2 linked regions of the Danio rerio genome follow. The protein of the gene in region 2 purifies or fractionates together with the protein of the main gene of each other region. This does not show direct contact. Links are inferred from orthologs where the notes say so. Each region holds a gene or a part of one and is shown on either strand. Other genes may lie near its edges.

Evidence for each region.
Region 1: the proteins of slain2 (region 2) and tacc3 purify together in Homo sapiens (co-immunoprecipitation; 3 studies listed by BioGRID and IntAct, counting the BioPlex papers as one, with this or other methods). This does not show direct contact. The link is inferred for Danio rerio from reciprocal best matches to the Homo sapiens genes SLAIN2 and TACC3.

The regions. Positions count from the first base shown.
Region 1 is NC_133188.1:39,350,361-39,356,864, reverse strand, and holds the start of tacc3 (transforming acidic coiled-coil-containing protein 3), read left to right. Parts: upstream 1-2,696; 5' UTR 2,697-2,813; intron 2,814-3,425; exon of another isoform or gene 3,426-3,543; intron 3,544-4,003; 5' UTR 4,004-4,004; coding exon 4,005-4,169; intron 4,170-4,547; coding exon 4,548-4,675; intron 4,676-5,244; coding exon 5,245-6,504. Other genes in the region: mfsd2aa (sodium-dependent lysophosphatidylcholine symporter 1-A), read right to left, coding at 876-959, 2,252-2,311. UniProt on the Homo sapiens protein: Plays a role in the microtubule-dependent coupling of the nucleus and the centrosome. Involved in the processes that regulate centrosome-mediated interkinetic nuclear migration (INM) of neural progenitors.
Region 2 is NC_133195.1:26,071,108-26,077,608, reverse strand, and holds the start of slain2 (SLAIN motif-containing protein 2), read left to right. Parts: upstream 1-3,033; 5' UTR 3,034-3,236; coding exon 3,237-3,697; intron 3,698-6,501.

The sequences.
Region 1 (6,504 bases), on a different chromosome or scaffold from region 2:
TTTATCTTGTGATTGTGAGCATGGATGATTTATAAAACCTACAGATTTATTTCTAACAAAACAACATGAACATAAATATTGCATTCAAAACATTTACTTTTAGATGAAAGTAAGTGAGATATGGGGGAAGGCCTAAATATATTTTTCTTTTTACACAGATTTAACTATAGATATGTTTACTGGAATTTTCCAATAATGATAATAATAATTTATAATAAATACATTTATACTTATAATACATAAAAGGTCAGTGTGTTCTGTATAATATTTAAATAAATGAATAAAATAGATAATGAGAAAATACTTGCTTTTTTACCATTTATGAGAAAACAGGTCATTATAACATCTATAAAATATCAGATCTTAAATATTGTAAACAAATGAATGAGCAAATACATTAAATAAATTATAAACAATTATTGTTATTACATTTTTATTCTAAACTGTGAAAGCACTACAAAAGATGTGCTCAGATTATTCTCAGACTGAAATACAATATGCAGAAAATGCATATGCAGATTATGTCTTAAAATAAATGAAATCACCTCGTCTGAGGACAGCCGATATCCGTAGCCTGTGTGTTTAATGTATGTGATGTAAGCTGAATGCAGGTCAGTAGTGCGGGGAGAGGGAGTCAATGCACTGACTGACCTCAGCACAAACATGCCTTTGTTATGTAACTCTCTCCTCTCCTCTACCCTGCCCCGCCCATTCTTCAGTGTGCTTTTTTGGTTTAGTCTTTGATTCTTTTATAAATGTTTTTGGCATACTAAATGAACATACAACCGCAATGCATTTCTAATATTTTTATGTATACAAGTCCATAAACATTCGCAAAGGCATATATATGCACGCATTGTTTTGTTTAAGCTTACCATACATGATCCCATAACAGTCTGGCACTCATTGAGGCATTGGATGTGATCCGATGCTGCCCTCTTGCGAAAAAAGGCAAGACACTGCAGGTGAAAAGGGTAAATAATTATTAATAGTTATCGCCATGCTTCCACAGCTGACTGAAAACATTAAGAATTGCAAAAATCATAAAGTTTGTATTACAAGTTTCTACAATGCTATATTTAAGTAGGCATGTATAATTAGTATTGATTATTCTGCATAAATTTCTAGCACAAAAACCTGAACACTGAATGATAATAGGTTCAAAATTTTTGATGCTTTTTTGGCATATTTAGAGTAAAAGGTTTTAACAGAAGGGAATTAAATCACTGCTTGATTCGGAAAATTCAGAATAAAAATCAACAAATTGGGTATAAACCTCTGTAAACATTTTATCTATATATGAATTTTATTACTTTCTATATTTATTAATATCGATAAGAACAAATCTGTATAAATCTGGAGTCCAAAAGTGATTAAAAATCATTCTGAGAAAAATTTGTATTGTAATTGAAATCTATGGAAACACTATAAACTTTTAAACGTGTTTTTTTTACGTTTAAATTTAAAAATTTCTCAAAATTGACAGGTACATCAAATGTATGCTTTTGCTTGCCATGACTGCTGGTAATGATTAAAAAAATGGGTAATTAAAGCTAGGTAAATCATAAAAAAAAGTTATTGTACCCACTATACTTTTTAAAAAGATAATTATGTTCATAATAATGCACAAAAACAGCAATAAACATATATATTTCAAGGCGTTTTACCAAATTCATGGTAAATGGTTTTTACCTTGTGAAAGAAATTTTGAGGATTCTTTTTTAAAATCACCACTTAATTCTAAAAAAATCACTTTTTGTAGAAGAAAATGGAGTATTTGTGATCAAACTAATTATGCATAAGCATGTGCCTCTGCAATCTTTTACCTTTATATTAATATTATTATTTTCTGTATGTATTAGCTTAGAAACTAATAAAACTGTAAAAACTTGCGTCCGTAAATGATGCTGAAGTGATTTTTGCATGACAAAAATATATTGAAATAAATATGCATTGTAATTGAAATCTATACAAACAATTTCTTTACAATACATTTTTTTAAATTCAAAACAACAAGTACATTGTCATTTAAATGACAAGTATATCACATGCATGTATTGCCATGTCTGATGGTAATAATAAAAAATAGTTATTATTAAAGCTTAAAAAAATGCATCAACAACAAAATGATTTAATGTATGCGTTGATTAACAGCAAATATATTATCAAAAACTAAAATTATAAAAGACAATTATGTCCATAACATGCACTGTTATTGCAATATGAAACGAAATTCATATTTAATACATACCCTGTTGCAAAGCTTGTCGTCACGTTCATTGTATGGAGAAAACATACAGTGAAAGTACATTGTGGTTCAAAACATCACTCTTCCCTGATAACTTTCCATTTTCAAGACAACTCAAAACTAAAGTATCATCTTCAGTACAGCGAAACACTGTAAACGAAAACAAAACAGTTATATCTAATATCTAAGCTACAACAACAGCAGTAGTTTACACTGTCAAATCTACACTTGTTTTCAACAAGTAAAAGGGTTAAATGAGGTTATTTATCTTCATAAACCGTCTGCGTCAACGGCTTACCCTATTGGCTGGTTTGGATGTCTGTCAAATGTATATCCTGTACAAAAGCGCAGATTGACGTGCGATGCTATTGGTCGATTCGTATAATCGCCCCGCCTGACGAGAGTTGATTCTTGCATTTAATTGGCTGAGAGTGCGCCGTTTAAATTTGAACCGTTTCAAACGGGGAAAGTTATAAATGCAACAACAACATCTCTATGCTGTGTGTCGAGCTGACTGTCTCTGCGAAGAAAACGGTTTTTATTAGATTTGAGCAGTTTGAATAAGGTACGTATTTTAGAAAACCGCCCCCGAGCCACGTTTATAGGATTGTAAGTTATTAATGCGCGATATGAAACCATAAAGGTAACTTAATCGCTTTGACTTTTTTGCTACGTGAGTGTTGCCAGAACGTCGAACATTCTGATGTAACGTTAACTTAATCCTGTTATTTTAAGATTGCGATAAGTGATTGTTAGCTATCCTTTATGTAACGTTAGAGATTTTTTTTCTGTTATAGTTAAATTTCTAAAGTTCGTATGGAAAGGGCATAAAAATGTAGAATTAACATTAAGTATGACGTTACGTGTAACTTATTGATTTTGAGCACTGTTGGAGATAACGTTAATTTATTTGCATTAAAAACTTTTTTTTAAATAAATAACAAATTCTATATTTATTTATTCATTCATGTATTCAATGTTGTTTTGTCATCCACGTGGGTATGTGAGCTGTTAGGCTAAATTCTGTCTTGCACTCAATTCTCTGGCTGTGCTAAACGTTATGTGGTTTATTTATATTTTTCCACTGAAGTGAGGGATTGATCTGATATCTCACTTTTGTTCAGGTTAAAATGTGATCATTTGATTTATGATAGTGAGCTGTTTATCACCTGTCCAGGTAAGCTGTAGGAGAGAGAAGCTGTCAGAAGTACCTGTCAAATACAAAGCTGACAATCATATTGTCAGGCCTACATAGTTGAGCAGAATCCAGGCAAGAACAGATAAGGCCAGAAGTGGTAATGATTTTGTTTTTTGATTTTGTTTGTCAATCTCTTCCTTGTTCCTACTTATTCTCACAAAAAAATCACAGTATCAGGGGATTGGCATAGTGTTTGATCATGATATATATATATATATATATATATATATATATATATATATATATATATATATATATATATATATATATATATATATATATATTTTTTTTTTTTTCTTTTCTTTTTTTTTTCACTAAAAAGAAGCACTTTGTTCCCTCAGCACAAGGCTAAATTGTCACTGGTTTGGGTTATTAGTCACAGTGGGTTAGTCTGAAAGGAGATGCAACAGATTTGAAGTGTCTCAGGACTAGGGTCTCTGGGTGTTGGGTCAGATGCCCGCCTCCGGGTCTTATCAGCAAAAGCAGCTGTTTATGGTGCCTGCTGGGCGTGACTTTCCAAAACCCATGTTGTCATTTTCTGTGTCTCTGTTTTACAGTATGAGTTCTGACGCGCTGAAGGAGAATCAGGGAGCTGTACGGATGAACAGCAATTCTGAATTCGCTTGTGACATTTTCATGTTGGATCAGCCGACTGGCAGACCCTCGATTTTGCGGCAGTCGCAGGCTGACAACATTAACAGGACTGCTCCTAGAGCAGCAAAGGTGGGCTTGACAAATTTCCATGCAGTATTTTTTCTGTACTGTATAATGTGTAATAAAATCACTGGTTATAAACCAAGTGTTTTCCATTTTAAAAAGTAACTTGTTCCTTTGACTGTAAATTTACCTTTTCTATAGACACTTTCTTTAGTGTCATATGAGCACATCTGAGTGACTTTTCAAGAAACAAAAACACTTATGAATGGCAGGTCGATTTTGTTGAAGCCATGCTACATTTTATTTTGGATTCTTTAATATTCACAAATGCAGTATTTATTTGTACTATTATAAATTTTATTTTGCATGTAATAATTGAACCCTTTCTTGGCCTTGTACTACAGCTTAGACTAACCTGCACGTTACTTAATTTCTCTTATATAGGTTTGTTTTCAAACCCCACGGCGAGATCCAGTGACAAAGAAGATCATGTCTCCAAGCCGCACCAGTAGGCCGATCAGCCAGGATGATCACAAAAATGCACTAGAGACTCTCACAGGCCTTTCTGACCAGTGAGTAAATTACCTGCATCTCCAATTGTTCAGGACTGTTGATGACCATTTGTGTATTTGGTGTACCTTTTATTTATATTAATTTCCACCAAAGGCACTTCTTCGAACAGACCCAGAGACTTCTGGTGTAAAATGATGGGTAAAACATAATGATCCTGTTTCCAAATAATATTAACATGGGTTTTCAAAAATTTTGTCTGAAAGCTGTAAACTTGCTTGGGATGTATTCACGGTGAAAGGACATATTTCTTTCAAATCTTTCACAATATAATGATTCAACTTTATAATTGAATCCACATATCATGTTTGACCTGTGGTGCATGCTCAAATAGGATTCCTATTTGACATTACTTTTTCTTCTTGACTATTGTTGATGCCCACATTGCAAAACAATATTTCAGTGCTAAAACAATATTTTGTCAACTTTAATGTACCACTCTAATAGTACAAGGTATTCATAAGAAAACTAGGTTAAAGATTAATTTTTAAAATATTTTTATGTAAGCCTCTTAACCTGTTTTTAATGGACAAATATGCTAACGTGTAAAACCTCCTTTTGTGTTTTTCAGGAGTTCATTGATGAATAACACTCACACCACACCAATTGACATAGAATGTAACAGTGTTGCTTTACCTGATGATGACATGCCTGTTCAGAGCAGAGGGGCCTATTCCTTTGATCTTGACAATATTGATGCCATCAACCCTTTCCAGGGCTCCAATAAAATGGCGAATTCCCCACCTAAATCTTCTGCTTTTACGGAGGCGGCAACATCAGAGCTTGTAGAGTCTAACACAACCATAGCCCCTGTTTCTGCACCCCAGGTAGAGGTAGAGACAGAGGCAGAAGTGACTGACAGTGCATTTGAAGAAGCTGTCCCATCAGTGGAGAATTCCCTTGCAGAATGCTCTGCCAACATCTCATCGACAGAGGGCAACGTAGCCCCTGTTCTTGCACCTCAGGCTGAAGTTCCAGAGGTGACTGAAAGTGCACTTGATGAGACTCTCCCATTTGTGCCATCAGTGGAGAATTCCCTTGCAGAATGCTCGGCCAACCTCTCTTCAGCAGAGGGCACAGTCATCCTCAAGACTGAGAATATTGAAAACAGCACCAATGAAACAGAGGAGACTGAGATCACTGACCCAGTGGCAGAGCCACAGCAGATTCCTGTTTTTGAGGGTCAACCCGAGGCACAGGACTTGCCACTACCTTCTGCAGGATCTTACAAGTTGGATTTTGACAACCTTGAAATGCTCAACCCATTCCAAACTGGTGGGTCAAAGATCCCCAACTCTCCTCCAACCAAAACATCAACAGTTTTTGACCCACCCCTGCTAAGCCACGAACCTGAACAAGAGCTATCAGTCCAGACAGATATCCCAACATCCTCCGATCCATCCATAACACCTCAGGAGAACTCCACTGCCACAGAGAGTTCCTCATCTACAACTGCCCCAAAGGAGAGCCAGATGCTATTAGAGTTTAATTTTGATGATGGAGCTGAAGTTAAACGCAAACCTCCTCCAAAACGCCTTGGGGTCAAAAGACCTGTTGGTGCAAAACCTGTGCCCAAAAAAACAGATGCACCAGTCACAGAGAAAAAAGATGCAGAACCCAAGCAGATGTCTCCTACAAGCCCAGAGGAGACCCAACCTGTGGATATTCCTTCTGCTAAAGGTTCTTACACTTTTGATTTTGAACAATTTGATAACCCAAACTTTAACCCCTTTGGCACAAAGGCTATGATGGGAAACTCACCACCACGTGGGGTCCAGACCAGTCCAGTTTTGAAGAAAGCACAATCTCCTGTTAAGCAACTTGAGACACT
Region 2 (6,501 bases):
TTTCTCTGGTTGGATGAACATTCAGCGTGCATGAAGGAAAGGCATTGTAGAAATGCACTATGCACAGTCATCCATTATTTATTTATTCCACAACTAACAGTTTTCAATACCATGTTTACAGAGATAAAGTGAATAGCCTTGAGTTAGTCATGTGACCTCAATGTAAATGCAAAATCAAACTGCTTTTTTGAGTGAAACATGCACTATCCAGTGGTAAATTTTCCATTCATTTCCATTCAGGGAAACTGATTTTAAATTAACTTCTCAATCACTTTGCTATGAGCTATACAAGATTGTTAATCAATGATATGTGCATTTGTTGAATCCATCAACATGCATTATTTGAGTATTTTAAAACAATTATGAAAATACATTCATACATCATATAAAAATGTCCTGATGTTCGAATAGGATCCAAATCCCTCCCATTTTGAGGCCCACCACAACTTGACATAGGAGTTCGGTTTCCCTGCCATTGAATTGATTGACATCCGTGTATTAACATGTCTCCGTAGTAACGCGTATAATCATATCAACAAGGCAGTTCAGCAAGATCTGTTCAGCGCTCTGTGATCATCAATCATCAAAAGAGGTTAAGAATGAGGTTTGCAAGTTTAAAATGTTTTTAAAACAGTGCATGTTTGTCGTGAATTACAGCGATTTTACCATCTTTATGGCAATACAATTATAAAAGACGACAATGACAATACAATTATAAAAGACGACGCTTCCATCCCGGTTTGTGGACGTTAAATCAGGTTTATTTTGTACATTGACATAACGGATATCCACAGTAGTGGATATTAACGTGTATCCTGTCAAATTTGCTGTGCAAAAACAGTGCAAAGTTACACACTTTGTGTGTGCTTGTGTGAATGTGCGTAAACTTTGTAACATCATTGTGCGTGACTCATCATTGCAGGAAAGCTTGAATAAACTCCAAAACAAATACATCAAATAATCATTGGGAAAGTTCTTACTGTAGTATTTCTCACAAACGTTACATGAGATCTGCTTCCTTCATGTCTGTCACTGTGCTGTTTATCTGACGCAGCCATGGCGGAGATTGAGGAACACTGACAGGCATGTGGAAACGGTGGGTGGAGAGAACTAGCATTAAAGCCACAGGACACAAAAACAGCTACATAGTGTTCAGAGCAGAAAATTTAAATATTCTCAGAAGTCTAATAAATAATCTGATGGGTTTTTGAGCTAAAACTTTACAAACACATTCTGGAGACACAAAAGACGCATCTTAAATCTTGAAAAAGCGCTTAAATATGTGCACTTTAAATTTTTGCTTTTGTAATGATGTGCTTCACCTTGTTACTGATCAGCTCTGTTCATGGGTTATTCTGTGGATCTTTCATGAAGACTACTTCAAAATAACTAAATTAATCCAGCGGTAAGAATAGATGGAATTGCTGTAATCTTCTCAGTTTTAATATTACAGTTTATTGAGAATTTCTAGGTTAAGTGGACGTCTATTTTGGTGGCTAGCAAAGGTTGAAAGTCTTTGCTCTAGTATAATATAAACATCTCAAGTCTTTCTGAACTTCATTTCAAACATGAACTTGAAGGATTGAGTAGGACTGATCAATTATTTTAAGATTCTAATGCAGAGTTGCCACTATAGAATATTATTAATCCTGAAATGCTCTAGTTGGTGTCAGTCATGTTGTGTTTTATTGAAGAGCTGTGAAGAAATATGGAAATGGTGCTGATTGTTATTAAAATAAAAATTATTATTTGAGTGGTTTGTTAGCTCAGCTAGATGAATTGAACAAGGAATGTTTTAACTATGGTGCTGTTTGGTCATTTTTTATGGAAAAAATGTTTGTTTTTATTCTAATCTGAAAGAAAACACATGGTAAAGGGTTTGGTACTTCCCATGTGAACATGCAAAAATAAAAATTTTAAATAAAATGGGCAGGATTAAAAAGGTCACATGATCTTGAAAATAATAGTCGCATGTTAATTGTGGTTAAAATGACAACATTGGAAACAAATAGGAAATGTCTTGTAGAATCAATAGTGAAAGCTCAAATTGTTTGTAAAAAACTTTTGGAAAAATATTTCAGAATTTATTTTGCACATTTTTAATAACATTAACAAACTGAGTAAGTTTTTTTTTTACTTTCACTTTTATATTCAAGATGTATGACCGTTTGGAAAGTGACATTTAATTTTCAGGTATAGTCAAACACGGTCAACGTATGATCATCATAGTTTAATACAGTTTTATTTAGTACCATAAAGTTGCAAATTCTAAAAGCCAAATTAAACCAAAACAACGTTTAATATAGTGCAATGAGTCTAGGCATATTTGACATTGATTCAGATTGTTTTGACTGCCATGCGGACATAGCTATGAGTTTAGGACAGATCAACTTAACCAGAGGGTGACCTGAACATTCATTCATTCGTTTTCTTGTCGGCTTAGTCCCTTTATTAATCCGGGGTCGCCACAGTGGAATGAACCACCAATTTATCCAGCACATTTTACGCCCTTTTGATTTTACATTTTTGATGCCCTTCCAGCCGCAACCCCCTTGGAAACATCAACACACTCGTTCATACACACTCATACACTACGGACAATTTAGCCTAACACAATTCACTGTGAATTGGACTGCGGGGGAAACCAGAGCACCCGGGGGGACCCCACGCGAACGCAAGGGGAACACGCAAACTCCACACAGAAACGCCAACACGGTACGAACCAGCGACCTTCTTGCTGTGAGGCGACAGCACTACCTACTGCACCACTGCGTCGCCCATGTGACCTGAAAAAAGATGTCTAAATTAAATTATTTTAGACCTTTTTGTTATGATTAACAACCATACAGAAGTAGGAAATCCCGCAAAAACTCTCCAACACAGTGAAAAACAGCTCGAGTGTGTGTCAGAGGTAAAATGCGCGTGCCTGCTTCAGGGAAGGGTCGCTCCCAAAACGTGCTCGTCCCCGCTGAGACACGTGATGACGTTTCACTTCTAGCTTCTCAAAGATTTCCCAGTTAGCGACTGGCGGACAGTAAAGATGGCGCCGGAGCTTACCGTGTGTACGAGTGCGACGAGAAGATGACGACGATACGATTAGTTACTTTCGAGCCGCGGCGTTGACAGTGCTTCACTTAACGGCCCTGCGACAGAGGCTCGCGAACTTACTGACTTTGGCGGTAGTTGATCAAACCTAACGGACACAACCCGCGCGCGGACAGACCTTTGCTTTTGCCATGGAGGATATCAACTCAAACATAAACGCGGACTTGGAGGTGCGGAAGCTCCAAGACTTAGTAAAGAAACTCGAGCAGCAGAACGAGCAGCTCCGGAGCAGATCCAGTTTACTGTCCTCTTCCTCCCCTGGCGGGAACACCAGACCGGTGAGCGCCGGGTTTGACTCCCCGGGAGCGGCAGCGGCACTCGCCGGGTTCACAGGGGTGGGGTTCGGCGGATCGAGGGGTTTCGATGAGGCTTTGAAGAACTCCAGGCTGAGCCCCAGACGATCATATCACGGCAGCAATTACGGAGATTATGATAGTGACAGCGGTTCATTTACCACCTCGAACACGAGTTTCGCGTCTTATTACAACGATTCCCTGGATTATATCGAGGACGGAGAAACTTCAGTGCTGGACGAGGTGGAGGTCCTCGATTTGGAGGACATGGATTGCCTGTACGAAGAGGAGGACAGCTGGTGAGTAAACTGTCAGTGCAAGGTGTTAACCCCGATCACAGGAAAATCACCTCTCCCAGACACGCGCACACACTGTTCATGTGTTTGACAGGTGCGCGCAGCTGCGTGTGTGTGTTGTGTGCGTGCAGACGACACAGAGAATGACGCGTGTTTGGTGGAATGCGCTTGATACATTGTTGCTCTCCTGTCTCTGACTAAGGGCTGGGGTTGCTTTATTCAGTGCATTCACTGCAGTACGACTGTCATCTGATGATTAGTGCCTGGTGTCTGAGCATTTGGGAGCAACAGTTTGCTGACTGCATGTATTCAGCTCGTACCACGGCCTTTCTTGCAGTTGCTTCTGACGTGTTGTTCTTTTTTATATGTCCTTCAGGTTATTTTAGAAGCAAGATGTGCTTCGTACATCTTCCTAATGACAGCCATGGTGTCATGCTTCAATGATGTCATTACAATCACACACACACACATGATGCATTTGCATCTAGATTTACTTTCTGCTCAAGCCTCGGATATGCTGGAGCAGACTATGATTGTACATAAAAGATGTACATAGCTTTCCGCTTGATCAACACTGTTTATGGCTCATTTAATGGGATAATTCACACAAAATTACAAACTGAGATGTAGATGACTTGTTTTTCTTCAGTAGGACATTAAAGAAGTCATTTAAATCATAAAATCTTATTTTCTAGGATATAGAGTACAAAAAAATGTATAAAGGCAAGATTAAATGAATACTCCTTGTCTCCTAAAGTCATAAAGCGAAATGATCAGTCTGTGAAAGAAACTGAACATTATTTACAATATTATTAACCTCAAATGATGTTCCCTTTGTGAGATTGCATGTGAAGAAGCCCACTTGGTGAACTGTTTGCAGAGGCTGTGGATTAAATAATAATATTGTCAATAATGTACTTTTTGCACAGACTGACTATTTAATGCAAAAAGACCTCAGTCTACCATCAGAAACAACTGGTATAAATATAATTGGTTTATTTTTATTTTTTGTCTTTGTTTTTCATTACCTCTTAAAGTACTCTTAGACTTTTTATGCATAATATAAATCCCTAACGACCACAGTTTTAGCAAAAAAAAAAACCAATAAATTATACTGAAGGAAAATTTGTCAACAAAACGATTTTTTGAGAAATAATTACAAAGATTTACATTAAAAAAAAAAACAAATCGGAAAAACTTTTTTCCTCAATCTACATGCAGGTCATGCAATTGATAATTAGCGCTACTAATGTAAATGTATGCATACAGTGCTCAAGCAAAGATGCACTGAACAAACAGTGTGAAACAGCTGTCCACAGGTATGTCTGCTAGTTCTAACAAAACAAGTAAAAGTAGAAGAATAAAATATTTAAACTGCAGATGGATCTCTGTTTAAAGTCCAAATTCTGTTATAATACTGGAATGAATAAAAATGAACTAAATAATTATAAGTAAATGAGTGTGGCAAAATAAATGGTGTCACCCATCGATGTGCTTCAGTTCTAATTTGTGAGCTCAAATATAAAGTTTTTCAGGCATAATTCATAAGAGGATTCATTTTTAAGACTTTAAACTTTTCAAACCAACTTTTACTTATTTGTCAGCATAAGCTAATTATTTAAAATATAAAAATAATATTAAATGAAATAACTTGCGATTTGACTCATGTGCAGCCAAAGTGTTGTGTCCCATTTAAAATACCAACTAGATAAAATCAATGCAGACTGTTGTAAATCTTTATTTACTTCTATTTCATCTAGTTATGACAGCTTATTCAGCAGGATTGACTCTAGTCTTAAGTGTCTCATTATCTGTCAAAAAAAAACATTATAATGTGCTGATATGGAAAATTACTTGGCAGTCAATCAATTATTATTTTTCAATCAATCCTGACTCCTAACTTTTGAGAATATGTATTTCTCTTTATTTAATATATATATATATATATATATATATATATATATATATATATATATATATATATATATATATATATATATATATATATATATATATATATATATATATATCCTCTTTGGCTCCTGCAGTCCCCGTAGACAGCTGCCTTTTATCATTTTTTGATCTTTTGTGGATTGATATATCAGTGTAATCCATTGTTTGTGTTGGCTATAATCTGTGTCTGAGATTTTCTGTGGTTTAGGTCAGTTTTCACAGACTCAGAATGCTGTAATCCGGACACTTGATCCGGTTTAGTTGTATATCTTGCAGTGGCAGCAAAATGCTGGGAAATCCCTGCAACAGCTGGAGTCCAACAGATCAGTGATCTAACAGAGCTAACACTTGATCACTACCAAGAGTTGGTAAAACAGAAATGTACTTGTCAAACAGCTTGATTACAGCAAAGAGGATACAGCATTGATTTAATCTTTTTAGTCACGGCAAATAAAGGATGAGATTATCTTTTCTTTGCTTGTTGTATTGTAGATTTAAAGGTGTTTAGGGTCACTAATGATTTCCAAGTCACGCTGTTAGCAAATCTCTTGACCAGATAAGAAGATAATGAATTTGTAATTGTTGAATCAATAAAAGAGCAGGAGTATGTGCACAGTTCTCAAAGTCAGATCTGCTCTGTTAGGATGATGTGAGCATTGCATAGCACATATACTAAAAGTTTATCTCAGGAGAAATGCACTCAATTCTGACTGCCAGATTCTTTCACCAGCATCAATCCTGCTAAATACTCCACTTGGTTGTGTGCCATTCCTCCTTACTCCTTTCTGACTGATCAAAATGGTTTATGTCAGTTTATTTGACAAACAGCATTAAATCTGTCATTGATTAGAGGA